Linked DNA regions of Drosophila melanogaster. The protein of the gene in region 1 interacts with the protein of each later gene in a pairwise test. Each region holds a gene or a part of one and is shown on either strand. Other genes may lie near its edges.

What was found.
Region 2: the proteins of CG11581 (region 1) and CG2157 interact in a two-hybrid assay, tested with the Drosophila melanogaster proteins (one large-scale study listed by BioGRID).
Region 3: the proteins of CG11581 (region 1) and Arr1 interact in a two-hybrid assay, tested with the Drosophila melanogaster proteins (one large-scale study listed by BioGRID).
Region 4: the proteins of CG11581 (region 1) and Arpc2 interact in a two-hybrid assay, tested with the Drosophila melanogaster proteins (one large-scale study listed by BioGRID).

The regions. Positions count from the first base shown.
Region 1 is NC_004354.4:14,173,565-14,179,711, reverse strand, and holds CG11581 (uncharacterized protein), read right to left. Parts: upstream 2,790-6,147; 5' UTR 2,766-2,789; coding exon 1,761-2,765; 3' UTR 1,256-1,760; downstream 1-1,255. Other genes in the region: CG1368 (uncharacterized protein), read right to left, coding at 4,184-4,741, 4,883-4,885.
Region 2 is NC_004354.4:10,866,432-10,872,239, reverse strand, and holds CG2157 (uncharacterized protein), read right to left. Parts: upstream 2,957-5,808; 5' UTR 2,861-2,956; coding exon 2,849-2,860; intron 2,504-2,848; coding exon 2,131-2,503; intron 2,058-2,130; coding exon 1,699-2,057; 3' UTR 1,537-1,698; downstream 1-1,536.
Region 3 is NT_033779.5:18,075,599-18,083,147, reverse strand, and holds Arr1 (arrestin 1), read right to left. Parts: upstream 4,880-7,549; 5' UTR 4,761-4,879; coding exon 4,652-4,760; intron 4,500-4,651; exon of another isoform or gene 4,418-4,499; coding exon of another isoform or gene 4,351-4,417; intron 4,233-4,350; coding exon 3,425-4,232; intron 3,192-3,424; coding exon 3,062-3,191; intron 3,002-3,061; coding exon 2,954-3,001; 3' UTR 1,841-2,953; downstream 1-1,840. Other genes in the region: ninaD (neither inactivation nor afterpotential D), read right to left, coding at 1-49, 113-924, 993-1,295, 1,355-1,483. UniProt on the Drosophila melanogaster protein: Regulates photoreceptor cell deactivation. Arr1 and Arr2 proteins are mediators of rhodopsin inactivation and are essential for the termination of the phototransduction cascade.
Region 4 is NT_033779.5:20,414,439-20,424,596, forward strand, and holds Arpc2 (Actin-related protein 2/3 complex, subunit 2), read left to right. Parts: upstream 1-2,618; 5' UTR 2,619-3,155; coding exon 3,156-3,229; intron 3,230-3,909; exon of another isoform or gene 3,910-4,043; intron 4,044-4,084; exon of another isoform or gene 4,085-4,216; intron 4,217-4,231; exon of another isoform or gene 4,232-4,366; intron 4,367-4,395; exon of another isoform or gene 4,396-4,529; intron 4,530-4,558; exon of another isoform or gene 4,559-4,695; intron 4,696-4,706; exon of another isoform or gene 4,707-4,843; intron 4,844-4,864; exon of another isoform or gene 4,865-4,992; intron 4,993-5,017; exon of another isoform or gene 5,018-5,147; intron 5,148-5,187; exon of another isoform or gene 5,188-5,318; intron 5,319-5,335; exon of another isoform or gene 5,336-5,470; intron 5,471-5,493; exon of another isoform or gene 5,494-5,627; intron 5,628-5,880; coding exon 5,881-5,974; intron 5,975-6,051; coding exon 6,052-6,151; intron 6,152-6,209; coding exon 6,210-6,396; intron 6,397-6,458; coding exon 6,459-6,679; intron 6,680-6,712; exon of another isoform or gene 6,713-6,836; intron 6,837-6,865; exon of another isoform or gene 6,866-7,000; intron 7,001-7,036; exon of another isoform or gene 7,037-7,162; intron 7,163-7,178; and 13 more. Other genes in the region: CG10949 (uncharacterized protein), read right to left, coding at 830-1,668, 1,726-2,266; CG15130 (uncharacterized protein), read right to left, coding at 8,747-8,835, 9,837-9,989, 10,050-10,158. UniProt on the Drosophila melanogaster protein: Functions as actin-binding component of the Arp2/3 complex which is involved in regulation of actin polymerization and together with an activating nucleation-promoting factor (NPF) mediates the formation of branched actin networks.

The DNA.
Region 1 (6,147 bases):
GTGACAAATTGAAAACAAGTTAAGGTTCGAGTCCACAAAGGAAAATGTCAAGTTGAGGGCCTCTGACAACCGCGGGCACAGTCTGCCTTAATTATGACTAATTGCTGTGCGAACAGCCTCTATATATCCAAAAGCTATAGCTCACGATCGTGATGAATATTCAGCTGAGTTCGACTTTAGCGAAAATTGCAACAAAGCTGCTGAATTGATTTGGATTAGCCACTTTCGATTTGCATATACGACAAACGGAAGGGCTTGAGCTTGAGTGAAAGATAGAAAAACTCAGATGTATAAGATATAATATACATGTTCTAGTTACAATCTATATCTAAATAAGTAAGCAAATTGCAAAAAAGTTTGTTAAAAAGTGATATATTGCCTGAAGAGCAATACTGCTTTAATAAAATACTTTAAAATTAGTTCATTATTTTATATATTGTTTTACTTTATAAGGTTATTTTACTTGAAAGTGTAGTAAAACACTAAATACAAATGAATGTTAAGCAACCAGAAGTAAATAGCAGCACTAAACCGCCCAACTGATGTAAGTTGATAAACCACTTGATGTAAGTATATGAACCAACTAATGTAAGTTGATGAAGCGTGTCATAAAAGGTGACAAAAGCTCTCCCAAAAGACAAAAAGACATTTTTTACCATTTGGCAAAGCCATAAAAAAGTTGTTATAAAGACTTTTAATGTATTTACTGTATAACAACAACACAATCAAAAGCCACATATAAATAATTCAGTGGAGACATCAAAAAAAAAAAAAAAAGATGAATAAAAAATCAATTCGGGCTAGTTGAAGTCTATAGACTTTTGAAACCAAACATGGGAGTTGAATAAGTCTGGTTTTAAACTATGGAAAAATCCCCTTTTCGATAACCATCTTAAGTTCACGAAAAGAAGTTCATTATCATAAATGTATGTATGTTCTTTAGGGGAAACTCTTTGACGTCAGAAACTAGTTTGGCAAATTAAAAAAAAAAAAAAAAATATCGCGAAGCTAAAATTAACTCAGAAGGTTCTTTGAATTTCGCTGAAATTAACTTAAATCGATTAAGTTTGCCCTTTAGGTGGGCAGCTTCTTTCTCTACCTCTTTTCTGTGACGTCAATTCAAAATTTATACATGTAAGACAATCATTTGAATTTATTCGTTTTTAAGTTGGATTTATTTTAGAATATGAAATGATAAACATAAATCCATTTTTAATGATCCATTGTTGTTGCATGATAAACTATTACTGCTTTTAAGTTGTGGATGTTTTTTTTTTTAATTCTTGTACCATTTTGTTTAAACTTAATTCCATCCAGAAACATATCAGAGTTCAATAAACCTTGATGGTGAATGTGCATAATTATCGTAGGACTTCGGTTTTAGTCCACACCCAAACCACTAATCGTGTTTTTTATTTCAGCCTTTAATCGCCTTGTATTGACTTTTGAAGACAACATAGTTTATGAACACATATGTGTCTGGCCAGGGTATGCATAAAACATAGGTCTGTCTATATATATGTATCAATCACGACGATAGATTGTCTCGTTTATGGTTATCAGTCAGTTTTGGCAAAGATTTCGATTAGCATAGAGACAATCGTTTTGTCTGTCCGCATCTTTATGGCCAGCAGATCAAATAAATGAATAAAAACAAAGGCACAAAAAATACAAGAAAAAAAAAAAACAAAATATGGATCATAATTTATGGCGAACATGTTTGATGAACTCCCCAATTTGGGGCTTCGAAAGCCATCGCATTACTTGGCCCTCTTGTAGACATAGCCGCCATTGGATGCGTAAACCGTATCCGCCACACTCTTGGGATCGTCGGCCGATGGTGGTGCCACTACTGTCCTCTCACTGTCCTTTGGTTGCTCCTTCGCCGGCTCATCGGAGTAGCCCGGCGGAGCGGGTCCTCCGAAACCGGGTCCAAATTGTTGGTAGGGATTCTGGCCGGGCACAGGTCCGCCGAATCCTGCGGGCACATTGAATCCTGCTGGACTGGGTCCTTGGAAGGGACCCTGGGGATTTGTGAGGGGAAGTCCCTGGTTTGTCAAGAACTCCGGTGGATATGCGGATCCTGGGAAGGGCCCTCCCTGTGGCGGGAAGTTACCTCCTAGGAAACCATTGCCCGGTATTCCCTGTGGCCCGAAGGCACCTCCTTGTGATGGGAACACTCCCTGCTGTGGTGAGAAGGGAGCTCCTTGCGTTGGGAATCCATTGCCAGGGATGCCTTGTGGCTGGAAGCCAGCTCCTTGTGGGGGAAACCCACCTGCCTGCGGGAAACCACCTGGCTGGGCAAAATTACCAGCTTGCGGACCGAAAGGACCACCTGGTGGCAGTTGGAAGGCCGCATTCGTAGGACCCCCTGCGAATGCGCCTCCATTGGTAGGACCCGCCGGGAATGCACCTCCGTTGGGATAGGCCGAAGGCACTGGCCCAATACCATGTCCTCCTCCCTGCTCGACAGGACCTCCGCCGAAGCCGTAGAATGGTGGATAGATGGGCAGAGGGAAGTTTGGCGGCTGGACAGGCTGTGGCAAAACGTTGCTGCCCGTGGGAATGGCATAGCCCGGCGGCAGTGGCAGTCCAGTCGATGGATAGAATCCAGATGGATCCTTCTGCACCTCCTGGCCATCAGCAGCAGACCGTGTGGTTGGCTCCAGTTCCGCACTGGGCGGTATATATTCCCTGGGCAGGTGACTCACATCTCCGTTGATCAGGGGCAGAAGTAGGACCACAACGGCCCATGGCTGCATCATCTCGAGCTCCGGTTTGATCTCTGGGAACTTGCACGGCGACGGTGGCTATGCGGCCACGGGCCCCAAATCCGCCATATATAAGACGGCATATCAACATATTACATAAATTCGCGGCCGGCTCATTTCACTTTCGCATTCGGCGAACGGAAATTGCTTTGCATCATCACAAAGGTTCCATAAATAATCGCCAATCCAAAGGTGATCGAAGGTGCGAGGGGAGGTGCCAAAACTGAACTATAAAATTTAATTTAGCGGCCGGATTTTACATAAATAAACTAACGCCGAAATCGAATGTTAAATTCAGCATCGCACAAAGAAAAGAGGCGATAATGAAAAAGATTCAATAAACGAAAAGAAAGAACAATGAAAGGGTAACATTTTATTTGATTTAGATTCAAGTTCTTGCTCAGCTTTATGATGAATATTAAATTTTAAAAATTACTACCTGAAAGCAAAAGGGTGTTAATTAAAAACAGGAAAAACGTCGAGGAGGTTCGTTTTATTTACTGTAATATACTAAATAATGGTTTTGAATGATTTCAAAAAGTCTTGAGTAAATAATTTTTCAGAAATGCCAAGCACTCTCAGAAAATGTATCTGCAAGTCATAGTTTTGAAATACTCAAAAGCTTAGTGTTAAAACTAGGAAAACCATAAAGTTTCATGCTATATTTAAACTAAAAGCTCTTTGAAAATGCTTAAAATAGTCGCAGCTTCCAAGTTTAATCAAAGCTGCAAGCTGTTTATAAAAAGCCCAACTTAATTAAAGCTTTATATTATATTTTTTAACGCTAATACTTAGTTAAAACATTGATGTATGTTAAATGTTTATGTTCTTGTCCTACAGGTTTTAGTGTTAACTAGTCGAAGAATTAAGCTTTTTAATTTTGAAAATTACCATTATAGACTAATGCCAATAAATCTTCTTTACTTTGTATGGACATATCATTCGTATACTTTATTATATTTTTATTGGCTTATAAAGTGCCACCTTTTGTCTACTCTGAAGTATTAAGCACCAACAAGCACTTGCTTTTGACGTTCGATTTTGAAAACGAACCGCACTCAAACCGCATCAAAACCGCAACAAAACCGCACCTAAACCGCAACCAAACCGCACTCAAGTCGCGCGTGGTTTTTAGTACGCTATTTTGGTATCCTGGTCCGGAATTTTGATATAAAGTGAATAGGGATACACTTGTTAAAAATTTTATTAATATTAATATTAGACGCTTGTTTTTATAACTCTGAAACCCATTTTAAAAACAAAAGTATTTATTTGGATTATTGATGTTTCGGTTTATTTCGTTGTAAACAAAAGTTTACAAAACAAAAAAAAAAAATATATGGTTAATTTGGGCAGTATGTAGTTATGGACACTGTTTCGTGTTCAGTTGCAGGCCTCTTCGTTGAAGATCCCTACTTCCTGTAGACGTAGCCACCGTTGGAGGCGTACTGGGTGCCCACATCCACGGAGGGTGCAGAGTAGCTCACCGATGGGGCGGAGTAGCTGACGGCAGGAGCGGAGTACGACTGCTGGACAGCAGGGGCGGAGTAGCTGACCGATGGAGCGGAGTACGACTGCTGGACAGCAGGGGCGGAGTAGCTGACCGATGGAGCGGAGTACGACTGCTGGACAGCAGGAGCGGAGTAGCTGACCGATGGAGCCGAGTAGCTCACAGAGGGTGCCGAGTAGCTAACAGAGGGGGCGGAGTAGGTCCTCTGGACAGCTGGTGCGGAGTAGGTCCTCTGGACGGCCGGTGCGGAGTAGGTCTGCACAGGAGGCAGGTACTCGTTGCTGGGGGCGACATACGACTGCTGGATGGCTGGAGCGGCGTAGGTCTGCTGCACGGCTGGTGCGGAGTAGCTCACCGAGGGAGCGGCGTACGAGCTCTGGACGGGGGGCAGGTACTCGTTGCTCAGGTGGCTAACATCGGCGGCCACGCAGGCGAACAGGGCGAAGGCAATAAGGAATTTCTGCAAGTAGGACAACACACTTCACACATTACAAACACAGCAAATTTTTTAAGCACCGCAAAAAAAAAAAAAATTTTGTCAAATAATATTGTTAAATCGATGTATCCTTGTTTCAAGCTGAACTTGTAATCCTTCACTGACCATCTTGAGTTGAGGTTTCTGCGTTTTCAAGCGACTGTGCTGGATGAGCTAGAGGCTGCGACTGATGCCGGTCCCTACCAGCCGCCAGTCAATTTATAGCTGCCGGCCGTCTTCGAAGAAAAGCCCCGGTTTTGGAGAGCCCGTTCCAACTGCAGCGGTGGCACACCGGCACTAACGGCAGACGCCGGGCAAGAAGAAGAGCAGGCTTAAGCGGCCAGCGGACCAAGAAGAAGCCGCCGCAAAAGACGTCACCATGAAATCAAGACAAACAAACGGCTGACTGGTGCTGAGGGGCTGAGGGGACATAGCCACATAAGTTGGCAGCTAATTGTGAAAACTGTTAAAAAGTTTAAGTATTTTCAATTAAGAATATGCTTCACTTATAATTGTTTATGTACACCAGACCGTTTGCAATGTTCAATTAAGTAGTAGTGGTAGCACAATGCAAAATAAGTAATAATATAAAAGATTTAGATACTAACATTTGAGCTAATCACCTATTTACAACTTAAAACTGCCGACTTGTTAAATATTTACTTACTTCTTAAAAACTGAGTTTTGAAAAAAAAATGGTAACTTGAAACGTTAACTAGCATAGATCATTGGCAGAGCTTACTTAGTTAGATGGTTTTGGCAATAAAATGGCTAAAATGGCAACACTAATCAGGGCGGAGGTTAAAAAGCATATATAGGGAGGGGGCTGGCTAAACTACCAAACGGAAAATCACATTAAAATTAAATTCAACATAAAAATCGAACGAAATCGCACATGCAAACGGGTTTGGCTCATTTACGATATTATATTTTTTTCCATCCACGCAACGGGTTTGCGGCGGGTGAACTACTTTGGGACACCTTTTTGTGGTCTCTTCAATCTGGCTTATTAGCGTCGGACTCAAGGGGAATGGAGGGAGGGAGGGGGGGGGGGGGGGTTTGTGCCGCACAAAGCCCAAAAAAAAGGGGGAAAAAAACTAAGGGGGTTCCACTAATTAACATTCAATTTAACACATTATACACCGGAGCAACCATTTTTCTTGTTTCAACCGCAGAAATGGGCCGGCGCACAAAAAGAGATCCATTTGGCCTCGTTCGAGACACTCGCCCAGATTGATGGCCCCCACAGAACGTCGTGTTTCGAAAAACGGAGCCCCACTCGCACTTTCTAAAAACCCATAAACACACAAAACCCATCAGTGGAGACCGACAGAAGATGGCCTTGAGAACAGACGCCGGCCGCCAGAGTTACGAGTTCCCCAGCGGTCTTT
Region 2 (5,808 bases), 3.3 Mb from region 1:
ATATATATTTTAATGAAATGTAATTACAGTTATACGCTCAAATAAAACAACTATGTATGAGTGGCAATGATTGTGGCCTACTGATTCTATAGTCTTAAGTACGAAATTCGAGGGGAAACTGTTTTTAAAACGAGATGGTTTTAAATATAAATTGGGTCTTTAAAAGTGAGAATAATCCCAGCTAATGAACTTTGTTGTAGACAATCTTCGTGATATTGTGGTGACATGGTCGACTCGAAGTTCCCCCAACGCCTCGGTGGTTAAATTCTCGCGGAACTATCTAAAAGACGAGCCGATAATGGTGAACGGCACCTGGCAGCGATTCGTCGATGGTGGAAAGAAGGCTCGCACTCAGTACATACACAATGTGGAACTGAAGGATCTGGAGCCGGACACGCGGTACGAGTACAGCTGCGGCAGTCCGCTCGGTTGGTCGGCGGTGTTCAATTTCAAGACGCCACCGGCGGGTGAGAAGTGGTCGCCCTCGTTGGCCATTTTCGGTGACATGGGCAACGAGAATGCCCAGTCGATGGGCCGACTACAGCAGGACACTGAGCGAGGCATGTACGATGCCATCATCCATGTGGGTGACTTTGCCTACGACATGGACACCTCCAACGCTGCCGTGGGTGATGCATTCATGCGCCAGATCGAGTCGGTGGCTGCCTATGTGCCCTACATGGTTTGTCCGGGCAATCACGAGGAGAAGTAGTAAGTATTTGATGATGCCGGTGTGTTAACTATTCAAACCTAACTTACTTTGGCCCATCACAGCAACTTCTCCAACTATCGCGCCCGCTTCAATATGCCCGGCGAAACGGACAGCTTGTGGTACAGCTTCAACTTGGGACCCGTGCACTTTGTCTCCTTCTCCACGGAGGTCTACTACTTCCTCAGCTATGGCTTCAAGTTGCTGACCAAGCAATTCGAGTGGCTGGAACGTGACCTGGCCGAGGCCAATCTGCCCGAGAATCGGGCCAAACGTCCGTGGATCATCACCTACGGTCATCGACCGATGTACTGCAGCGACGACAAGGAGTACGATTGCAATAGCCAACTGGAGACGTACATTCGCCAGGGTCTGCCCATGCTCAAGTGGTTCGGCCTGGAGGATCTGTTCTACAAGCACGGCGTCGACGTGGAGATCTTTGCGCATGAACACTTCTACACTCGCCTGTGGCCAATCTACGACTACAAGGTGTACAATGGCAGTGCCGAGGCGCCATACACTAATCCCAAGGCGCCCATCCAGATCATCACGGGTTCCGCCGGCTGCAAGGAGGAGCGCGAGCCCTTCTCCAACGATTTGCCCATCTGGAATGCCTACCATAGCAATGTAATTGAATGACCTGCTTAATATCAAAACGGAATACTATAATTCTATAATCTCTTTAGGATTACGGATACACCCGCTTGAAGGCACATAATGGCACGCATCTTCACTTCGAGCAGGTGTCCGATGACCAGAACGGCGCCATTGTCGACTCCTTCTGGGTGATCAAGGACAAGCATGGCGCATATCCATCGCCCCAATGAGATTACATGCATATATAAATATATACTTTCTAGTTAAATGACGATTATGATAATGTATTTTTTTGTAGCATCTTTTAATAAAAATAAAGTTAGAAAAAAATATATCGATGAAAAAAAATAAATTCCACTAGCTTAGATCTTGAACGTTGGACCGTGCGGTGTCTAGTAGACGGTTCCCGAGATTCCGGAACCGTAGTTATAGCCCGATCCGATGGGCGGCACTCCGCCCAAAGCGCCCAAGCCGCCGCCCACCACGCTGTTGCCATAGTTGCTCGTATAGTAACTGGATGGATAGCCACCAGCGCCGAATCGGGTGTTGTAGTACGGATACCCAGTGCCGGCTCCAGCGCCCAGCCTGCTGTTGTAGTATGACAGGGCGTATGGATTCGAGTTGTAGGAGCCACCATAACCACTAAGTCCCGATCCATAGCCACCAAGAGCGGATCCATAGCCACCCAAAGCGGATCCATAGCCGCCCAGAGTGGATCCATAGCCTCCGTATCCGGCCACTGCAGCACCATCTGGGGATTGAGAAACAGCGTTGGTATACTACGAGTCTTCGGCAAGAGATTGAGAGTCTTCTTTCAAGCTCACCCTCACCTAATCCACCCAGAGCTCGCGAGCTGTACGGATTGTAGTAGCTGTCCACGCCAACGCCGACGCCACTGCCGTACGCTCCTCCATAGCCGGCTCCCAGGCCAGAGGCATAGCCGCCGTATCCTGCGCCATATCCGGCGCCATAGCCGCCGTATCCCGCGCCGTAGCCCGCTCCGTAGCCACCGTATCCACCAACATAGCGCTTCTCCTGCTTCTTATCCTGCAGCGGGGCATAGCTGCTGGCGGCGCTCACCTGATCCTCCACGGCCACCGCATCCGGTGCCGATGCGGATGCCACCTGCTCCAGGTCAGAATCCGCCGCGTCCTGGGCATAGGCACTCAGCACCAGACTGGTTGCTATCAGGATAAACTGCGCGAGGATAAAGCGTCACCAAAATGTATCATATTCAAAAGATTACCACTTAAAACATATTTCAATAAAGTGAAAAGTACTTTTTAACAATAGTATTTTGTTTAACAAATTCTCAAAAGCAACATAAAACATATTCAAAAATGTAATAAAAAAAATGTAAAAAATATGTATCAACTTTAAACTAAAATTTAAATACACTTTATAATTTAACAATGAACATCAAGCATTTGGAATACAATGCTTTCAAAACTTATTATTCACTTTAACGAACTGTGTTTTTTAAATCATTTTCTAGTTTTTGGGAAATTATAATCCACGAGAGATCCTTTGGCGAGTCCTTACAAAGCACTTCATGTTGTGGCTGCCGGTTTGTGGTGTTCACTGCTTTCTGGTGGCTAACTGCTCCTTCAAGACTATGATGCGCACGCGCCGTTCGACACTTGTCTAATGATTCCCCACCGGGCCGGCAGTCGCTTTTATACCCGCCGAGCCCACTTCCAATCCCAGCGAACTCGAGCCGCGAAGTTGGACGCAACTGTTGCATCCCAGAGATTCGTGTCGCCTTGCTTGCCACCTATGTATGTATGACGCATGCCACTGGACAACGTGTATGCTGATGGGTCTTGGCTTAATCATCAAACATATTAGATTGAATTTATATCCTGGATTAGATAGTTTCCAGAATCAGATGAGCTCTACTTAACCCATTTATGGAACAACTCTGGATCAACTTAGATTGCTAATATTGTATATTAAATACATATTTATAATCTTAACTCTTTTCTTGAAGAAAACAATACCTTTCGAATGATCTACTTATGAAAAGCTGGTTGGGCGTGTTGATGTGTGATCACACATCATTATGAATATTCCCACGATCTGGGGGATCAATTATACCGCCGCCGCTCAGGAGAAGCAATAACAATGATGACAAATGCTAATTGAATCATTAACTTGACCCTGAAACAGCTAATTGGTCAACATAAAACGCGAAAATGCCCAACGATTGCAGCTTTGAAAACAAAGTTTAAAAAAAAAACGTAACAGCAATCATGCGAGTCCAGTTGAAACGATTTAGTTAGATAGATAAATATTGCGGCTAGTACGTGACTCATTTCATGAACAACAGTATCGAATTGGGTTTTCACTTTCCAGCGCTTATTTAAGCCAACTGAAATTGTTAACAAAACATCGCAGAGAAGAAGAGCCAGGCGGATCTGAATGCTTGAATTTCGCCAACAAAGGTGGCAATTGTTAATTTCTTAGAGGCTTTTTGGCCAAGTGCCTAAGCTAAGTATCCCCATTCCAACCAACATTGCTGACACATTTTCTAAAAAACCTAACGGATTGGAGTCGTAACTTCGATTGGGTTGAATGGACTGAATTAGGTTCTACCAATCTGGGCGATAGTTTTAGCATAAATTCAGGGGTATTCCACATTTAAGTACATTTAATCTATAGAGTTTAGTACAAGAAACTAAAAAGTACTCAGATGTTTCAAATAACTTTAATAATAACTTTAGCAAGTGTTTGAATAATAAAGTAGCATTTAAGAACATAACGATCTATATCCGTTTGCCATTTTCCAAAACTGCAAAACTGTAGCTTGTATCTGTGCAGTTGAAGTTACGTGTGCCAATAGCATTGCGATACTTATCCACGGATATTTACGAAATATGTCAAAATAGTTGTCGATGCCATGCTTGTGGATAGCCACATAGTATATACATACGCTTGTCATACCGCCCATATGAGTGGGTTCACATTGTTCGACCCGGCGGGCATGTGAAAAGTGTTAACTGATTCGACTGACTGTATGGATGGATAGATGGTTGGAGGGATGGATGGATAGATGGAGGGATGGATGGAGGGAGGCAACCGAAGCTACTGCCGACTGCTATGAGTTGACTTGGCCATGGGTGCACTTTGGCGATGGCCTGGGAGTTTCTCGTTTTTTTTTTTCTTTTCTTGTGCTCTTACCCCACTGAGACAATGGTTCTTTAATGCCGAGGCCTAAAAGCCCATTACACGGGCAGCCCGTGAATCTCGCGGTAAGTGGTAGCCTCCATTTCTTGGCCAACCCGCGCACACGGGGCGTATGAGTAATCAAGGAAAAGCAAGCACGGTGCAAAAATCAGATTTAGAACTTTGTCAGTTGAGATAGAGCCAGTTAAAAGCATAAAAAAATGTGGAGCAAAACTAGTATAGTGATTTTTTCAAATATCATTTAAGTTGCATATTTCATCTCAGAATTTTAAGACCATTCTAATCCATTATTGTATTCAAGAGTTTTTCTATCTTTGTATATCACTCAGTTCATGTTGTATCTTTTCCATTGAAGTATACGCACCTGTTTTTCGCAGTGCATTCGAAGGGAAGAACCAAATCCCAGATTAGACAGGTAACATTTTCCCCGGGGCGTTGCCATGATTCGTTGTTCTAATTTGCAAAAGCAAATCACGCTCGACGGTGGCAGCAATCTTGCATCATTCATGCCAGTCGCACGCCCACCAATTATATTTACAAACAGATTTAATTATAATTGAACAGAGCGGCTTGGTTAACTGAAAGCAGAAAAACTGAAAACTAAAGCGATCCAAATGCAGCTTTAAAAAAAAAAAAACCGCAAGCAAGGTACATCGAGCAAATGAAGCTGAAAATTATGATGATGCTGACTATGATGACGACGATGATGATGATGATGGGAACTTTGGGGTGGCAGTGGGTCGAAGTGGGCTGCATCTGGGTGGCTACCTTAGCTAATCTCAGACCTGGAGACAATGGTGTGGCGACAACAAATCCACAACAAAGCAAAACAAAACCATGGCCTTTTCCGCTGAACTTGCACTTTGCATAATTGCATATTACCATCAGCCAAGACCAAGAATACTTCACACGATTATCCATCCATGTGCATTGTGCGACTGGCCAAACGACAAAGTCAAGTCCCTCGCTCAAGCGGTGACCACCACCCCCATAATGGATCGTATCCCCAAGCTCCAAGCGACCTTGACCTAAATACTTAAATAATGGTAAATAATATACACCTTGTCTATTATTGCTCCACTGCAGATAATGCAACTCTCTATCAGGATACTTTCAGTTTGTCTTCAGAGTGCGATTCAATTACTATTGCCTACTCTACAGCGCAGTCCATGAAAATAGCACCAATTGAGTTACATATGCATATCAAGGTTGGGGAGATGAATGGGGTTCGGCTCTCGAAATGAATCATCTGCAATTGATTAGACGCGTCTCGTGAATAACTAGATTCGATGTCGCCAGCGATGAGTTCCAGTTCT
Region 3 (7,549 bases), on another chromosome or scaffold:
AGCAGTGGTAAAAAGTGGTGCATAGAAGCTGGGCAGGCCCTTCAGTATGCTAGGAAAAAATGTGTTTATCAAGTCATATATATGGTAGGCAACAATTATTGTAAATAATTACTCTATAACGCTGTCTGGCTCTATGTACAAGGTAATCATCACATTGGCATTGACCTTCAACGGCACTCCCATCTTGCGCTCCATGATGATATAAAAGTTATTTTGATCGTAATTCGGATTGTAGCCGCTTATCGTGCTGCCATAACTTTCGTCCGCGTACATAAAATGATCCGCAGAAAGGTACATGGGAACTCCATCGGCACACGGTCCTAGGTCAGTGGCTCCGGTTGCAGGACAATTATCTGGCTGGCGCTCCAAAGGACACCAGCACTTCGCGTTACCATTGATCTGTCCATTGTCGAAGGTATTCGGCGTTATCTCGTACTTCCAACCCGTGATGCCCTGAATTGTTTCGCTCTGTCCGGTGAACTCAAGATTTATGATCCGACAAGTATCCGGAATGAAGATGGTCAAAGCCTTCTCCTTGGGCTCATCGGGCACAAAAAGATCCGTGGTGCTGCCATTGAGACGTCCACATTCTCCATCGTACCATCCCGTGTGATTCTGGCCCTTCCAATACTTAATTTCACCCATCTCCTTGATGTCACCCACTCCGGTGTGTACAGTGAAGGGACCCTCGAAGTCCTTCGATCCGTTACGGTTGAGGAACCAGGCAAAGTGATCCGACTCGATTTTTGGGACCAATGGATTATTCAGGGTCATGGCGTAATGCAAAAATTCGTCGTAGAAACTTTCGAACAGCCATTCAGCTGCCGTGTGGGTCACAAAGAGATGTCCACCATTCGCATTTAGGGCCTCGTTGAACATGAATTTCAGGAAGACGTTGCTATTCCGCATTTGGTTTGAAGCAGCCTGCAAAAAGTGAAAAAGGAAAACTTCTTTTAGACCAAATTGTTTTTTAATAACTGCTTATTTCCTACCAATGAAGGTAAATGTGGGGCGGTAATTAAATCCGTTTGCTTGCCGCCAGAGAGCTCCTCTTCCCAGAACCAAGTTCTTCTGGGGTTAAAGGTAACTGTGCCATTGTCGTGCCACTCAAGATCCATCTTCTTCCTCTCCTCTCGATAAACATAGGGTCCAAGTTGCGCGAAAATAGGTTTTACTCCATTAGCCTGCACATCTGCGGCATTTGTCCAGTTCCAAAGATACATGTAGACATACACCGGAATGGGCAGCTCCTCCCATTTTTCAAAAGTCTTTGAAGTGGGTGTCAACGGCAAGGCCTTTTTAATAAATCGATTAGTACTCCTCCTTAATTTTATTTTTATACACCGCCTCTCACCTTCATAATCCCTGAGTCTATAAAGCCAGGCCAGCATATTATGGCCAGGAGTCCGGAGACCGCGAAAAAGGTTCCCAGGCCGAAGACCCAGGCCTTTTGTTGGGTCACCCCACAGCAGCTGCAGCACATATTGAGAGACGAAACAAAGGCTTTCGAGCGACTGCAAAGTGGAAAAATATCGCTCGAGTTTTTATTCATGCGTCGCTTAGTAGATTATCCACTAGTAAATAAAGCAGCGGCTAATCATCATGTCTACTGTGGTAATCAGCTCGGTTTGGTTTGCTCAACTTATTCTGTGGGGTGATTGGGATCTAAGTGTGTGTTTAGAGTACCAAAAATCCTGATAAATGCAAAACGCTGCACTTAGTTTATTGAGAGTGCTGGCTAATCAGCCAGACTAGCAGTAGTAGCTATTTCATGCTGCCACGTACCAAATACCACTTGGTAACTAAATCAAATTTAACGATACATGGTACAATTTTATTTATAATAGTATATAAAAGTAATTAGGTACATTTTTATTTTAGGAATTAAGTTTCGTTTATCAGTTCTTAAGTTTTTAATAGCATGCCAGAGTGCTTCCTAATTCGCATTATAAATTAACTTGAAGCTAGTTGATTAAACTATTAATACGGTCAACTATTTTTGCCTTGACGCTCGCCCATCTTATCGGTTATATAGCATGTATGCTTAAATTAGTATTTGCAATGCAATTTTTATGGTCAGCCACTATAAAAGATCACTTCCAAAGACGGCAATCTAATCTTCCTTAATGAAATTCGATTAATCCCATTACGCAAAACCATTTTAAACTCATTACCCACCTGGTCTGCCGAAATGTTGGCAGCGTGATTGATCAGTATTTCAACCCTGACTATTGGAAAATTTTGATTAGAGTGGCGTTATCGTTAATATTGGGTGCTTATTAAAAGTGGGACTGCAAACATTCACAAATTAAATGGATGCGTTTGAAGTGTGTTCGCTTAAATTTTACGATTTCAAAGTCCAGCAAGAAGCTCACCATATTATATCAATTATTGTCCATTTTCCTTACTCGAATTCAGTTCAGTAAACTTCCTCCAGCATAGTGGCCAAGTATTAATTAGGCTGCTCCTCGGCTTTTCAGAGTAGCAATAATTGGAATTACTAAGCCACAAATGCAAGACCCACTATTAGTAATTGAATAGATTGCACTGGCTTCTGTTGATTTCCCCATTGCACTTCAATGTACATAATCAGCAGACATTGCAAGATATCAAATACTACGAAATGCCTTCGTAAGCACATTATTAAATATTTAGTGCGCATTCCATACAAACTTTCAATGCTGGAGCCTTTTCAAATACACCGTGCTAAATTCAATAGAATACTCCAAAATACATACATAAACTCTGTTCATATTTAATTGTTAGTTGAGTTATAAATATAATACACATACACACATACAATATATGGATATTGGATTTGCTATATAGGAAAAGTACGACGACTGCAGTTCAGAACATTTCAGCAACATCAGCATTTTTTAGGATCTACAAAAATCGGTTTGACTTGTAGAAATACGCCATTTTTTTCGTTGGTTGAGGTAGCCCTTTCAGTTTAGGCCTCAATGGAGCCCTCGGCTTCCAGTTGGGCCTTGCGACTTGGCTGTAAATAATTGATTGCCTTTCAATAACTATTCAAATATTTGGGCACACCTTTTATTACCTTCGGGTGCATCAGAATAAATGGTAGCTCAGCGCAGAGCTCGCCGCCCAGGGCTCCCAAGAAAAGCTTGACCTTCACAGCATATGAAACAATTATGCCAAAGGCATCCCTCGCATCCTGACTGGCAATACTGAAATAGAATTTTAAATATGCATTTTTCACTTAGTATTAGTATGCGTTTTATGCCATTTTGTAAACACATTTAGCTAAAGAACTGTTAGTCACCGGGAAAATACGATTTTTAAAAAGGTTCCTAACTTTAAAATTTGATTGATTTTATGGTATGATTTTAAGTTGATACTTAATAGAGTATAATATTAATGTTTCATCTGCTAAGCTATGATGTGAATAAATTTTACTCACAGTGTGGTCGAGGCCAGAGCTGTGTCTTTGCGCTTGATATCACCCTCAACGGCGATGCCTGCGCGGTCGCAATTGGCCACCAGGGTGGGCACCAGATACATGACCTTCTGCAGGCTGGATCCCGGGTTCAGGGGACATCCCTCGCTCGTCTCCATGAAGGCGATCGTGTTGCGGAACTGACCGTTCTGGAACAGGACCACATCGACGCCCTGCTGCACCATGGCCTTGATCTTCTTCACCACCTTGTTGGAGTTGTTGCGCACGCAGATGTTCACCGAGATCTTCTCGCCGTGATGGTACAGCTGCTTGTCGAGGGTGACCTCCAGTTCGAGCTCTCCGGGCGACAGAAGGAAGTCCTTGCGAACGACGGTGCAGGGCTGGATGCCCTGCTTGGTCGGTGCGTACTGCACCTTGCGGATGCCCAGGTTAATGGTGCTCCTGCGATGCGATCGATCGCAGTCGCTGTCTCCGGTAAAGATCTTTACGAAGTACTGGACTCCGCAGGGCTGGCTCTCGTCACTGGCCTTCTGCTGGAGAACCACCGAGGCCGGCGAGCTTGGTGGCATCTGCATCACGAAGGGATAGGCATTGGAGCCAAGCTTCTTCAGCAGACGCTCCTGCATCTTGGTCAACTGGATGTCCTGCTTCTGGGGTGGGCACACCTGCTGCGAGACCAGGGTCAGTTCCTTCTGGAACCGCAGACCGATCATCTCGTCGTCCTCGCGCCCATATCGGAAATTGCAGACCAACTGCACGAAGATCTTGCGGTTCTGGCGCACGTACTCATCGTCCAGCACAATGATTCCATCTGCAAGAGGACGCTTATTAATTGGAGAATATTATTTACAAGCGCCCAGCCTCTTGGTTTGCTTGCTCGCGTAATCGATGAACTTGGTTAGCTGCTAGCGCAGCCAATTTAACTTAACTCCCTGGGCTATTGAATTCAGATGCAATTTTGAATAACTCCCTGAGTTTATATTTGCTGGTCGGCATATGCAGATTCGAAATGGAGTTTTTATAATATAATTTTGATTTGATATCACTTTTCAAGGAAGGTATTAAAAATTCCAATGTGTTAAGTTGAAACAAAAGTTACACTGAAGTTATTTTCAAACTATAAGATACTTCAATCGAATATGGGTACCAATTCCTACACGAATTTATTTTTTGATGGATTTCCTCATTCGTAAATCCCATTGCTCAAGGGTTTCGGTCTGTGACACCTACCAATGGGTTCCACCTGAGTCACGGAATCTACAAAATCACGCCTGTTCATGTAGAGCGTGATCATGTTGTTCGGGGAACACTTCTTGAACACCTTGAAATTGACCACCATTTTGGAGCTGTTTATCAAAATCTCTGCGGAAATAGTTTAAACTTTGGATGTGCCTTTAACGTTTCGCGCTCGTTCTCGATGGTATACGCCGCGTTGCGTGGTCCACTAGGCTATTAATTAGCGCTCTTTGGCAATCCGGCATTTATACCTGGCATTGTGGCACCTGTCGCCCCTCTAAATTCAATTAGCCGCACAGCAGAAATTCAGCAATTGCACGGCGGTAAACTACTACGGCTTCGGCAACCTTGCTGTGCGCAGTGTCTTTGATATTGACATTGCAGCACGACATCGACATCGATGGCTCAAACATTAAATAACGCGCGAGCAACACGGCGTATTAGCAATGCAGGACAGGTGAATGTACAGAAATAGCTCGAGAAATCGATTTAGTATGCGTATTTTGGTTTGTTGTTTTCCGCCTAGGATGACGTATTTAAACCCAAACATTACGTGGTGGGTTTTGTTCTTTTCCATTTACGTAATTGTTGTTAATTTAATTGAGCCCTAAGCACTCGTCGGCTAAGTACTGATAAGCGGTTGTTTATTATGACATTTATAATAGCTTTATGTTAACTGGAGACAACTACTAGTTATAACAACGAGGTACTTAATAAATTCCAAGTATTCCAAGTATTTGCTTCGGAATTTTCAAAATAATTGGTGAAGGATCCCATTTCAAGCTAGATGTAATAATATTCTTCTTTGAATTATATTAAACATTTAAATCAATTTTTCCCAACGAATCTAGACGTTATGTGTATATATATAATGACACATAAGAACTTAAGCTTTACCAGTAACTGTCAGTTGAAGGACCTGCACATTCAATTATGTAAAAATATTCTATGCAAAGCTGCTGGCCCTCTCACCATTTGCCATTTCCATTTTGTGCTATGAAATCACATTAGCATAAAGTAGGCTACTTAACAAAGTCAATGAACGTAATAATTATACTCCTGACATTAAAAATATGAACAAAGTTGTGTGAAATATATTGTTCTTTATTGTGTGGTTGGGGACCGGACAGTCGAGCAAGTGGGGCGGAGTTTTCCACCAACTACATCCCCCCTTTTCGTGTGTGAAAATGTGGCGGGAAAGTGCGGGAAAGTGTCGGCGGACAGTCGCCAAGGGTCCAACAAAACCGACAATGAGGCCCTTAATAATAGCAAAACTTTTGCACTCACGACGTGTGGGCCAGTAGGAAAACGGCGCTGGTTATGGGCATGTCTCTCATTTAAATACATTACAAGTGAACTTTCCGGGAGGCATGGCCACGGTGTTGTCCTGAAAAATGGCAATATGTTACTAAATGAGGTGTTCTTAAGATTCTGTTAGAAAAGCGTTCAGAGTTTTTACATTCAATCCGTCTATAGGTCTAAACTCATATCAGAAATATGAGCACTTGTCTTAAAAGAGGACATTTTTTCTAGAAATACAATGCAAAGCTATATTATTGAGTGCATGGCTGACCTTCTAAGGACTTCTTTAAAGTGCAACGCGTTTAAAGCAAAAACTATTTAAGCTTTGTTTTTATCACACGGATACTTTGAAAACCCATCACCATCTCAAATTCATATGTGGTCTGTTGAACCATCCTTTATATGGCAGATTATAGCAATACAATAAAATTGCAAACGACCACAAAAGGTTGACTTTATTATTTGTGCGCAATTGAGCTAGCTGTGGGTGGTATTGACCCATTTTCGAGAGTACCTCTTCAGACTTCTACAATTTCCGGATTCCCCTTAAAGCAGGAGCGATTTAAAAAGCCACGGAAGCAGTTTGCCACCATTCTTCTCTTTCAGTCCACTCGAGAGCTAATTTGGGCAATTCAATTGCCTAACCAAGGCGAGACAAAGTCGACGGCCAAATTGCATTGCACAATCAGCGCGATTGCCATGGACCAAACTGCGGAGTTTGGCCAAGAGCCCAGAACAGGCACCGAATGCAGTGCAATTGTCGTTTGGCAAAATCGACGGCCAACTGGAGCCAGACTTTTGGCCACAATCAGACTGCAAAGAAAAACGATAAGCTTAAAACTGTACCTCTATAAAATAGGTTAAAAAACAGTTTTATTTTTTAAGTCATGAAAATTTTACCTTAGTTTAATATATTAATATTATATTATATTAACAAGATAAATATCTTTTATTTATAATTGTCTTTTATTGTTGTTATTTACCTTTAAAGAAGTATGCTATATCAGAAAAAAAGTTTAGTTTAGCATACTTTTGCGCTTCCAATTGAATAGGAATATTTAAAAACAGATAAAACACAGATAACATGCATTCTACCAGCCATTTAAAAACAAAGACTTTTTTACTGTGTCGCATTTTAAAACGAGAAGGCGAGCCAACAACTTCAGGTGGTAACTTGGCCCGAAACACCTTGATGCATGGCCGACATCTGCCATTGAAACGTGCGCTCGGGTAGCCACAAAGTTTTAGGCCAAATATCGGTGGGCCGCGAGTGGTGGGCGACTCATCAACCCGATCAGGGCCAATAGCACGGAAAATTGTAGCGAAACCGAAATTGTTGTCTTATGAAAAGTAAAAGCAAACAGAATTGGCGCCCAGCCTTGGCGCGAGTTGCTGCCATTTCCAGTTACCATTAGCCAGAGGAAGGACATGTCGCACCCTCTGCCCGGGCGTACAAAAAGTGTAGGAAAAACTGGAGAAATACACAGGTCCTGTGCTGCATGAACGGACTTGGCAGCGATGTCGTCGCCGTCTGACGATGTGCAAACTGGCGAAGTGACAGCAAATGGCGCGGAAACAGTGTGTGCGCCA
Region 4 (10,158 bases), on another chromosome or scaffold:
GGAGCGATGACATGGGGTTCGGTCTAACGAGGAGGATGGACGGCAGGTGTCACAGCGACGGGCGCACTCTCTTCATCCATCCGCTTGGGCCGCACCACTCGACGCGGGGAATCCGGATCCCGGCCAGAACTTCAAACGCTTGCCGCGCACTTCGTTTATTTACACAAGAAACAAGTTTATGCCCGAGAAGAACCATTCGCAGGCACTTAGCAGGCGCTCGCGTTTATTATCTTAATAATAATTTCAGAGTTCAGGCGGCGCTCTTTGACGCACAACTAGGGATTCCTGCTCGCATGAGAATGGGATTTGGATCGGTATCTCTGGGTCCCGACCAACTGCACCGTGCGAACCGGAGGCGGCAACTAAGCGAATCGAGAATCTGTTGGCACTCGCGCTTCCCAAGAGCCAAGTGCACGCCAAGCGATTTGTTTATCCATCTGCTGCGTACGCGCGAATTTGTTCGTTATTAATTGCAATAAATGGTGTCGGCGTGGGCGCTTTTATTTATTTCTGTTTTTTGTTTTTGGTCGGTATGAAATGTTTGTTTCTAATTTTCGCGTAACCGAAATATTTGAATAATTCAGCGCCCTCTGGTGGCGGGTAGCGTTTGATGGCGATGGTTGTGGTTACGCATTTCAATGCTTTTCAGCACTGGTAATTTAAACAACTCAATTTGAAATCTACAAATATTCAAACCTTTCTTTTTCAATATTGCCTTTTGAGCCACAATATTTAGTAAGTTTATTTATTTACAGATATTTTCATGCTTACACTTATGTAATAACCCTTCTTCGTAATACTTTTGCAGCTAATCTACAACATTCTAATTTCAGTTAATGACCTGACAAGGTGCCACATCCTCGATCTCCTCGCCATCGAGGGCTTTGATTTGGCACTGGCACAGGAACTGCACGATCTTACGCTCGGCACTTGCCCGCTCAGACGGACTCAGTCCGTCCAGCAGCATCTGAGCCTTGGCAAGCAGGCTGTTGGCAGGCTGTGTACTTCGCTGTTCTCGCTCCTGCTCCTGTTCGTGGTGAATCTGGGCCTGCAGCTCCCGGGATTGCTGAAGCACGGTCTCCATGTTGGCAATCACGGTGGTCAACAGTTTGTCGGAGATGGCGGCAGACGGTACAGAGTCCCCAGGGAGAGAGGAGGACTCCTCTACGACGGGATTTACCCTGGCGATTGTGTGAATTATTTCCTCACTGGTGGCCGGCGTGGTGGTGGTCACCTGGAGCTGCTGTGGTGGCTCCAAGTCCTGCCGTGCCGTCGCTTCGCTGAGGATAAAATCGTACGGCGTTGCTTGCTCCGCCTCCGATAGTATCTCAATCTCTTCATCGTAGGCCAACTCAAGATCATCCTCCAGATCGTCGTTGTCCGTACTGTAGGGGTAATCAGCGCCCCAGATTTGCTCACCACTGGAGATCACCATTCCCTCCGGCTGTTTGCTGGTCTTTCCCGAAGGATTTCCTGCTTTGGGTGGTCGTCCACGTCGCTTGATGTTCTCCAAAACCAGGGGCACTCCTTTGCGGAAGTGGCGGCCCAGAAAGAGAAGGTCGTTAAAGTACCTCCACGTGATGGGCGTGGACTGGTTGATCTGATGACTGCGGAACTCCCGCCCGAAACGATCACGCAGCTTCTTCCAGCGGTTGTAGCAAAGTTCCTCTATTGAAAATTATCGGCATTAAGGGCTGAAGATCAAGAGGGTTACCCCGAGCTCACCCGACACATTTAGGTTTTCAGAAATCTCTCGCCAGGCTTCGTTTTTCGCTGCTAGGTTCTTGGAGACTCTGATCTTGTGACGATCATACAGCACGGGATGAGACTTGACCAGCTCAATGAGCTGCTCGTTCAGCAGGTCATCCTGGGAGTCCTCCTCCTCCTCGTCCTTTCTCCGCCTCTCCTGCTCCATGTCCACTTTTGTGCGCTTTTTCCGCTCCCTGGGCTCAAAACGCATCCCGTCGAGACTCTCGTTCCTTGCCAGTCCCTGTTTGTAGTGATCCTTGAGAAAGAGCAGTCGCGGAAACATGTCCCAGTAGGTGGGCTCATCCGGACGCTCCTGGAAACGGCGAAACTCCTTGCCGAAACGATCGCGAATGCTCTTCCAGCGCGTAATGCACGCCCGTTCCGAGGCTCCTAACTTCTGGGAGATGGCCTTCCAGGCCGCGTCCTTTTGCGCCGCATTCTTCACGCTCCTCGCGCAGTCCTTGTCGTACAGGATCGGGTGTCTCTCTATCAATTTAATCAGCTCATCGTCGTCCATTGATTTTCGCTATTATTTGTTTTTATTTATTCTGAACGATCCGGCAGCCTGGCGGGAAATATTGATAGTCGATAGGCGATGGGTCATCGCACAAAAAGGGCTGCCAGATTATTCTGTTAAAAAAATGTGCCTCTTAGTTTTATAGCACCGTTATTATAACAATGTTAAATAAAATATTTGTGTGTTTGTCTTAAAATGTCTTAATACATATTTATAATTTAAAGTTCGTGTGTACGAATTTCGTTTAAAATATATTCTATTTTATATATTTTAAAGAAAATTCTCTTTATGTTTGTTAAAATCTGCTGGTTTGAATTTCTGTGTAACCTGATAACATTGATGGTCGATAGCTCGATACTTCAATCTTTCCATCGGTGAGTTTGCCCCATCTCTATTGTGCTACCTGGCAACGCTGTGAGCAAGGAAAATACGGCAGCGTGCTCCCCGTTTTCCATCCACGTTTTGTTATAATTTTATAAGTATTACGGTCTGAGACCGATTTTGCACTGCATCGTGCGCGCTGCAAGTACTGGCGATTGGAAATTGGAGGCGCGAAAAGAGGATAAGGTGGATTTTCTTGCAACTGTGTGTGTGAGCATTGGAATTCGCCCGTGTGTGTGGCGAGAGTGCGTCCATGTGTGTGTGACGGACCAAAAAAGCCGACATCAGCGCCCATTTTTTGTTGTTGATTCATTAATACGCCCGTCATGCACCAGTATTGGTGAGTTGGAGCAGCGCACCGTCTTACTCGCACTCAACGGAGCGCAGAAAGAGCGCAGGGAGCGGCAGAAGAAGAAGCAGCGAGCAGCAGCACCATTAGCGGCAGTCAACGTCATATAATTTGTCATCGAAATTGGCACACTAAAAATAACAGTTAACTTCAACCGCCATGATCCTGCTGGAAATCAATAATCGGATTATCGAGGAGACGCTGCTGGTCAAATACCGTAATGCCCAGGCTGGGTAAGTCAATGCCTTCCAGTCCCGTTTCCCCAATTTCCATTCCACCATTTTGATTTCTATGCTGCATTCCCCACCGTTCTGTTATCACCAGTCGGCTTTGTTATCAATTTCGTTAGCTCTCTCTTTCCTCGGGAATAAATTTGGGTGTAGTTCCAGCCTTGGAACACTCATCGCTGCAGCTCTCTCCCTCCCACACACGTACCCAAGTACAGTGCAGCCCCCTTACGTCGACAGCGTATTAGTTAATTCATTACAACTCGCTATTCGCATCATCGGTGCTGAAAATCTGCAAAACTGACTCATCCATTGACGTGCATTCAAACGCATACGCTTGTGATGATCGAAAATATTAGTATTTATTTGTTCCTAATCCCGAAAAAGGATATTATTATTGAAGAAACATTATCAAAGGAGTCGTGTTACGAAAGAAATATGTTTAAGCTAAACGGTTTAGAAGAAGCTTAGACGAAGCTTACAGACTAACAAAATTATTAAAATTAGTAAAATAACTTATTGTACTAACAGCACTATCAGCAGAAAGAGGTATTTGTGTTTGGTAGCGAATGATTAAGATCTCACATAAATAAATGTATTTAAATGCTAATAGTTATGATGCCATTAGTTTATTCCCGATAAGATTGCAGTGTAATGCCTGAAATTAAGGCAATAAAAGTTATAAATTGTGGAACAAAAGTGGCATACTTGGAAAAAATCTCCTGTTGTGTCTCAAATGTTCCAAAATAAACCAAAAGGACGAACGGCATCCTGAATAATCAATCATATTATAGCAGATGACTTGTGTTCGTGTACATAAAAACTAATAGTTTCAATATTACTCCCCTATTATCTGTATTCTTGGGAGACAAAGTTTACATGCTAAAGATTCTCCATTTTCCGTGTCTACAACGCTCCGATATAAATTGTAACGCTTAAATCATCTTGAGTAATTCTTTTTGTTTCTTAAGATAAATACTTTCGTGTACATTATTGCAAATTTTAGGCTTTGGAGCCAAAGTGGCATTCTTCAAAAACAATATTTGATCTGTGTCTCAAAAGCTCCAACATTAACTAGAAAGACGAACGGCATCCTGAATAATCAATCATATTATAACAGATGACTTGTGTTCGTGTACATTTGCCATAAAATGTTCAACTTTTGTAATATTCTGGAGTCAAAGTGGCACGTCTTACGATCTTCCTGTAACTTGTGTCTCAAATGCTCCAATATCAAACGAAAGGACGAACGGCATCCTGAATAATCAATCATATTATAGCAGATGACTTGTGTTCGACTACAATAGTATTCGATTTATTAGACCAATAATGCCTCGGGAGACAAAGTTTACATGTTGAAGATGATGTGGCTTCTTTTTCGTGTCTACAATGCTCCAAAATAAATTGTTCGTTTAAATCGTCTTATTCGATTTATTTTATTGCCTAAGATGGTTGCCAACTGCACAACAACTAATTAAATATTTGGGTGGAGTTAAAGTGGCATATTTTATAGCTTTCCTTTGATCTGTGTCTCTATCGCTCCAATATCAATTTTATAAGCGAACGGCATCCTGTTTAATTACTTATATTAAGACAGACGACTTGTGTTCGTGCACAACTTCAAAATGCTTCAATAGTCATATGGAGAAAAAGTTTACATGCTAAAGTATTTTTCTTTTCCGTGTCTACAATGCTCCAATATTAATTGAACGTCTAAATCATCTTGGATATAATTATATTTCCATAGATAAATACATTCGTTCACAATACATTCGTTGTTCATATGAAAATGGATTGGAGTCAAAGTGGCACACTTAATCCATTTTTATTTGTGTCTCAAATGCTCCAATATCAAATGCAAAGGCGAACGGCATCCTGAATAATTATGCATATTATAACAGATGACTTGTGTTCGCCTACAATAGCTCCTGATAGCTTTACATTCCTTTATAAGACTCCCGTCTTCGGAGACAAAGTTTACATGCTAAGGATAAGATCTTTTTCGTGTCTACAATGCTCCAAGAGCAAATGTTCGTTTAAATCATCCTTGGCATTCAATATTTTTGCTGTGGATGCATTTAATTCGTGCACATATTTATAGATATGTATGTCGTGGAGGTAAAGTGGCATTCTCGGGATATATAAACCTGCCTGTGTCTCAAACACTCCCAAATCAACTTGGTTGGCGAACGGCATCCTGAGTAATTAATAATATTACATCAGATGACTTGAGTTCGCGCACAATCGCTTTAAGATCGCAAAGTACGATTTAGGAGCCAAAGTGGCATGCCTTGGAACTTTTATCCAATTTGTGTCTCTAATGCTCCGATACTAATTATACAAACGAACGGCATCCTGTTTGATCCTACATATCACAATAGATGACTTGAGTTCGTGTACATTATTCAGAAATATTTGTTTAGTTCTTGTAATTGAATTAAACTAAATTTAGATATCGGCTTAGCGATCCAGATACAAATACATACGGATGTTTTAATTTATTCGAAAACGCAAAATATAATTTTATTGCTGCTGGTTTCTTTTGGAAAAATAATCGGGTATAAACGAGTTTATGTGATAAGATACGGTGGAGTGTGGGGAGCATGACTAATAAGCAAGAAAATAAATGAGAATTTACTTTTTAATTCTCTTTCCAGACTGAAGCCTGAATCGATAGACATACGAATAGCAGACTTCGACGGCGTCCTTTATCACATTTCCAATGTGAATGGCGATAAAACAAAAGTTCGGGTAAGTGTACCGCGTACTATTCATTTAGGATAAATCCAACATTAACGATTTCTCACTTTTCTTGGGCTGCGAAACAGATCAGCATATCGCTGAAGTTCTACAAACAGCTGCAAGAACATGGAGCCGACGAGTTGCTGAAGCGTGAATATGGCAGTCTGCTTACAGACACGGAAGAAGGTACGTTCGTGTTTAAGTTCGGCATTTAAAGAAGTTAATTACTCTCGTCTAATTGCAGGCTACAATGTTTCCGTACTTATCAACCTGGAGGAGATTCCCGAGGACTGCGAGCAAATCGCAAAGAGAATCGGACTGCTGAAGCGCAACTGTTTCGCATCGGTTTTTGAAAAGTATTTTGACTATCAGGAGCAGGGCGAAGAGGGCCAAAAGCGTGCCGTCATTAACTACCGCAACGATGAGACTTTGTAAGTCAGAAAAATATGTTTTTGACTCGTCCAAGCGCTGACAATCTACAATCGATTTGCAGATATGTGGAAGCCAAGCCTGATCGTGTCACCGTCGTCTTTAGTACCATTTTCCGGGACGAAGACGATGTCATTATCGGCAAAGTATTTATGCAGGAATTGAGGGAAGGTCGGCGTGCCTCGCACACCGCACCACAAGTGCTCTTTTCGCACCGAGAACCACCATTGGAATTGGCCAACACGGACGCTAGGGTGGGCGACAACATTGGCTATGTCACATTCGGTATGTTAAAGGTTGAATGGTAAACCATGTGCTGTGGAGCCAAAGTTTACACGTTAAAGTGCATTTGTCTTTTCCATGTCTACAAGGCTCCATATAAATAGTATCGTTAAAATCATCTTGAACATTCTAGTTTATAAATATATCCAATGATAAATACTTCCGCGCACAATAATGCATTAAAGTCACCTGTGGAGTCAAAGTGGCATGTTTTAAATTACAATTTGAATTGTGTCTCAAATGCTCCAATATCAACAAGATATGCGAACGGCATCCTGAATAATCAATCATATTATAGCAGATGACTTGTGTTTGTGTACAGTAACACACCAACCCAGAATCCCCAAGCTGAATTGTTCAGTGGAGACAAAGTTTACATTTTAACAGTATTATCGTTTTTATGTCTACAATGCTCCGAAATCAATATCCGATCCAATTATCCAAAGCAGTCTTATATTTCCTTGGATGATTTCTTTCGTTACAAAAATGTCAGTATATTCCATATGGAGTTAAAGTGGCATATTTTTAATACTTACCCTAAATCTGTGTCTCTAAAGCTCCAATATTAAATAAATAGACAATCGGCATCCTGAATAATCAATCATATTATAGCAGATGACTTGTGTTTGTGTACAGTAAAAGAATATCTTAGACTGCCTTTTTTAAATGGAGACAAAGTTTACATGTTAACAATATTATCGTTTTCGTGTCTACAATGCTCCAAAATCAATATATTCGATCGAATCATCCGAAGCAGTCTTATATTTCCTTGGATGATTTCTTTGGTGCACAGTGCACAGCTAATGTAATCCCAATGGAGTTAAAGTGGCATATTTTGTATACCTTCCTTCAATTTGTGTCTCTAATGCTCCAATATTAAATAAGTAGACGAACGGCATCCTGAATAATCAATCATATTATCGCAGATGACTTGTGTTTGTGTACAGTACTTCTTAGAATTGAACCGATGTTACACTTTGAAATATCCAAAAGAAACAAAATAGTAACGACTCATACTTGTTTTTTGCAGTACTCTTCCCTCGGCATACCAACAAAGAAACAAGGGACAATACCATTAACTTAATTCACATGTTCCGAGATTACTTGCACTACCACATTAAGGTAAGTGTTGTATGCAGCTATGCAAAAATATCTTTTATATATTTGAAATATGCATTTTTGAGCAGTGTTCAAAGGCTTACATTCATTCGCGCATGCGAGCAAAAACCTCGGATTTCCTCAAGGTGCTAAATCGTGCAAGGCCAGAGCCCAAAAACACGGAGAAGAAAACTATAACGTGAGCATTGGACTTTCCATAACGAATTCTGATTACTAACTCGTGTTCTTTTTGCAGGGGGAGAACTTTCAAGCGCATCGATTGATGTGTTCAGTATATTTAGTTGTTTTTATATAAATACAAAAAATAAATTGTGTATTAAAATTCGATATCCGAATGGTGAATCCAACATAAACTAAACCAGATTGCAAGACAAACCCAAGTATTCCAAACAGAACCGTAAGGCTAAATGTAAGCTCAGCAAAATAATGATCAAAGAATTAATAGTTACGCGTTAGTAAATGAATTGTGTGTGTTTGTGTCGAGTCATCGTCAAATCCGTGTCTCCGCCAATTTGTTACAGTCATAGGCCGAGTCAGCGCCACAGCTGAGCCGCATTTTAAACAAATAAACGTAGACTTAAGTGCAACATGAGAACTAAAACTACCATGTCAAAGCGAGCAACACGACTAAGGGATGCCACCAACTTGTTATATAGTCGCAATGGAGGATTCATCCCCGCAATTAGCCTGTATGTGTAGAAAGCGCATTTAAAAACGTACTGCAAATATTAACAAACCTTTGATACAGCAATCGGAATTAATAAAAACGAGAAAATCAAACTGCAATGTAAAATAAAAAAAGGGACACTCTTTTAATCTCTAGCTAGCTGCAGACGCTCGAATACACTTTATTTTCTAGCTTATTAGCTTTTAATTGCACATAATGTCTTAAATGTTACTAATATTTCGCTTAGGTATACCATCTCCGCTGCACAATACTATAACAGGCACTTAGATCTTAAACTTAACATTCTGCTTCGCGTTCATGCTCTCCATGCTGACCTGGAAGTTGAGATAGTCGCTCTGGATGCGGGCACACACTGAAAGAAATGTGTTGGGTAAACTAAGTTGGGACTGAGGAGCGCTTTGACTGTTACTATTGAGATGTGCTACTTACTTACAGTGGCAGTGTTCATTGCGATAGAGAGTTTACTGCTTAAGTACTTCCGATAGTTTGTACAGGGTGCGGGTGAATTTACAGAGCCCCTAGGGATCATCGTACTGTTCCAATTTGATATAAGCAAGTGCTGTGATAGAGAAGCGGCAGGGCGAGATGGATAGAATAAGTGAGTAAATCGCTTAACACTGGGAAAAATTCGTTCCAAGCATGCGAAGAGTTCTCATAAATTTGGAACAAGTCCAAAACTCAAGAAGATACTGACTTGAAATGCAATTTTGATTATTATTCTATTAGAAGAAGATAACTGAGAGTGAATATTTTGAATTTGAAATATTTTAAAATAACGTAACAATATTAAAAAACCATTTCAGTCGAAATTAAATTGATTACTGGTGGGATAACTGAAGATCAAAGTTTTGTATCGCAAGCTACTACTTTTCCGTTTATGTTATTTTAAGCCCCTTTTTATAAATTTGCTATCAAGATTGGAAAACAGAAGTGCTTTTCGTCCAATTGTGGTTCGGAACTTATCTTAAATGGTTGTAATGCCATAAAATACTACAATTAACAAGTTATTTAGACACCTAATTATTCAGCTGACTAGCATCTCTCTATAAGAAATCCCTTCACATTCAAAAACTTCAGAAAGAATTTTTCTCAGTGTGAGGTAACTAGCGTGCGACAAGAGGAGTCAGCTGGAGGAGTCGTTTATCATTTTGTATATATACAAATGCGTGAACTCGTGTGGGAGGTGGGTGGTGGATGGGCGGGATAGTGAGGATGGGTAGGAGGAGCTCCAGACAGGAAAAGGGCTTGGCTCGCATTAGGGTGACAGCGAAAGTGGGGCAGTTGGTACACAGGTTTTCTACGCGATGTGTATGTATGAGCGGGGGTAATGAGATGGCGGAGCCACTTTCTCACCCTTCTGCAGGTCCATGTCGTCCATTTCGGAGTTCTTGATCTGCTGCAGCTTCTCGCGGAACTTCTTTGTGATCTGCTTGCGCTGGTAGTCCGCCTCGATTTCCTGCTTGGTGCGCGGTATACGGAAGCGAATGCAGCAGCATACCATAATCACTGCGGCAATGATTCGATTAAACTGTGTCCAGACCGAAGCTACAGCTATGATGTACTCACTTATTAGGAGGAGGACACCCAGAACGGCGGCGATAATGTGCCACACTCGGAAGCCCGCTATGACCACACTTTCCAGCCACATTTCATCGAAGATATCCGAATCGTCATC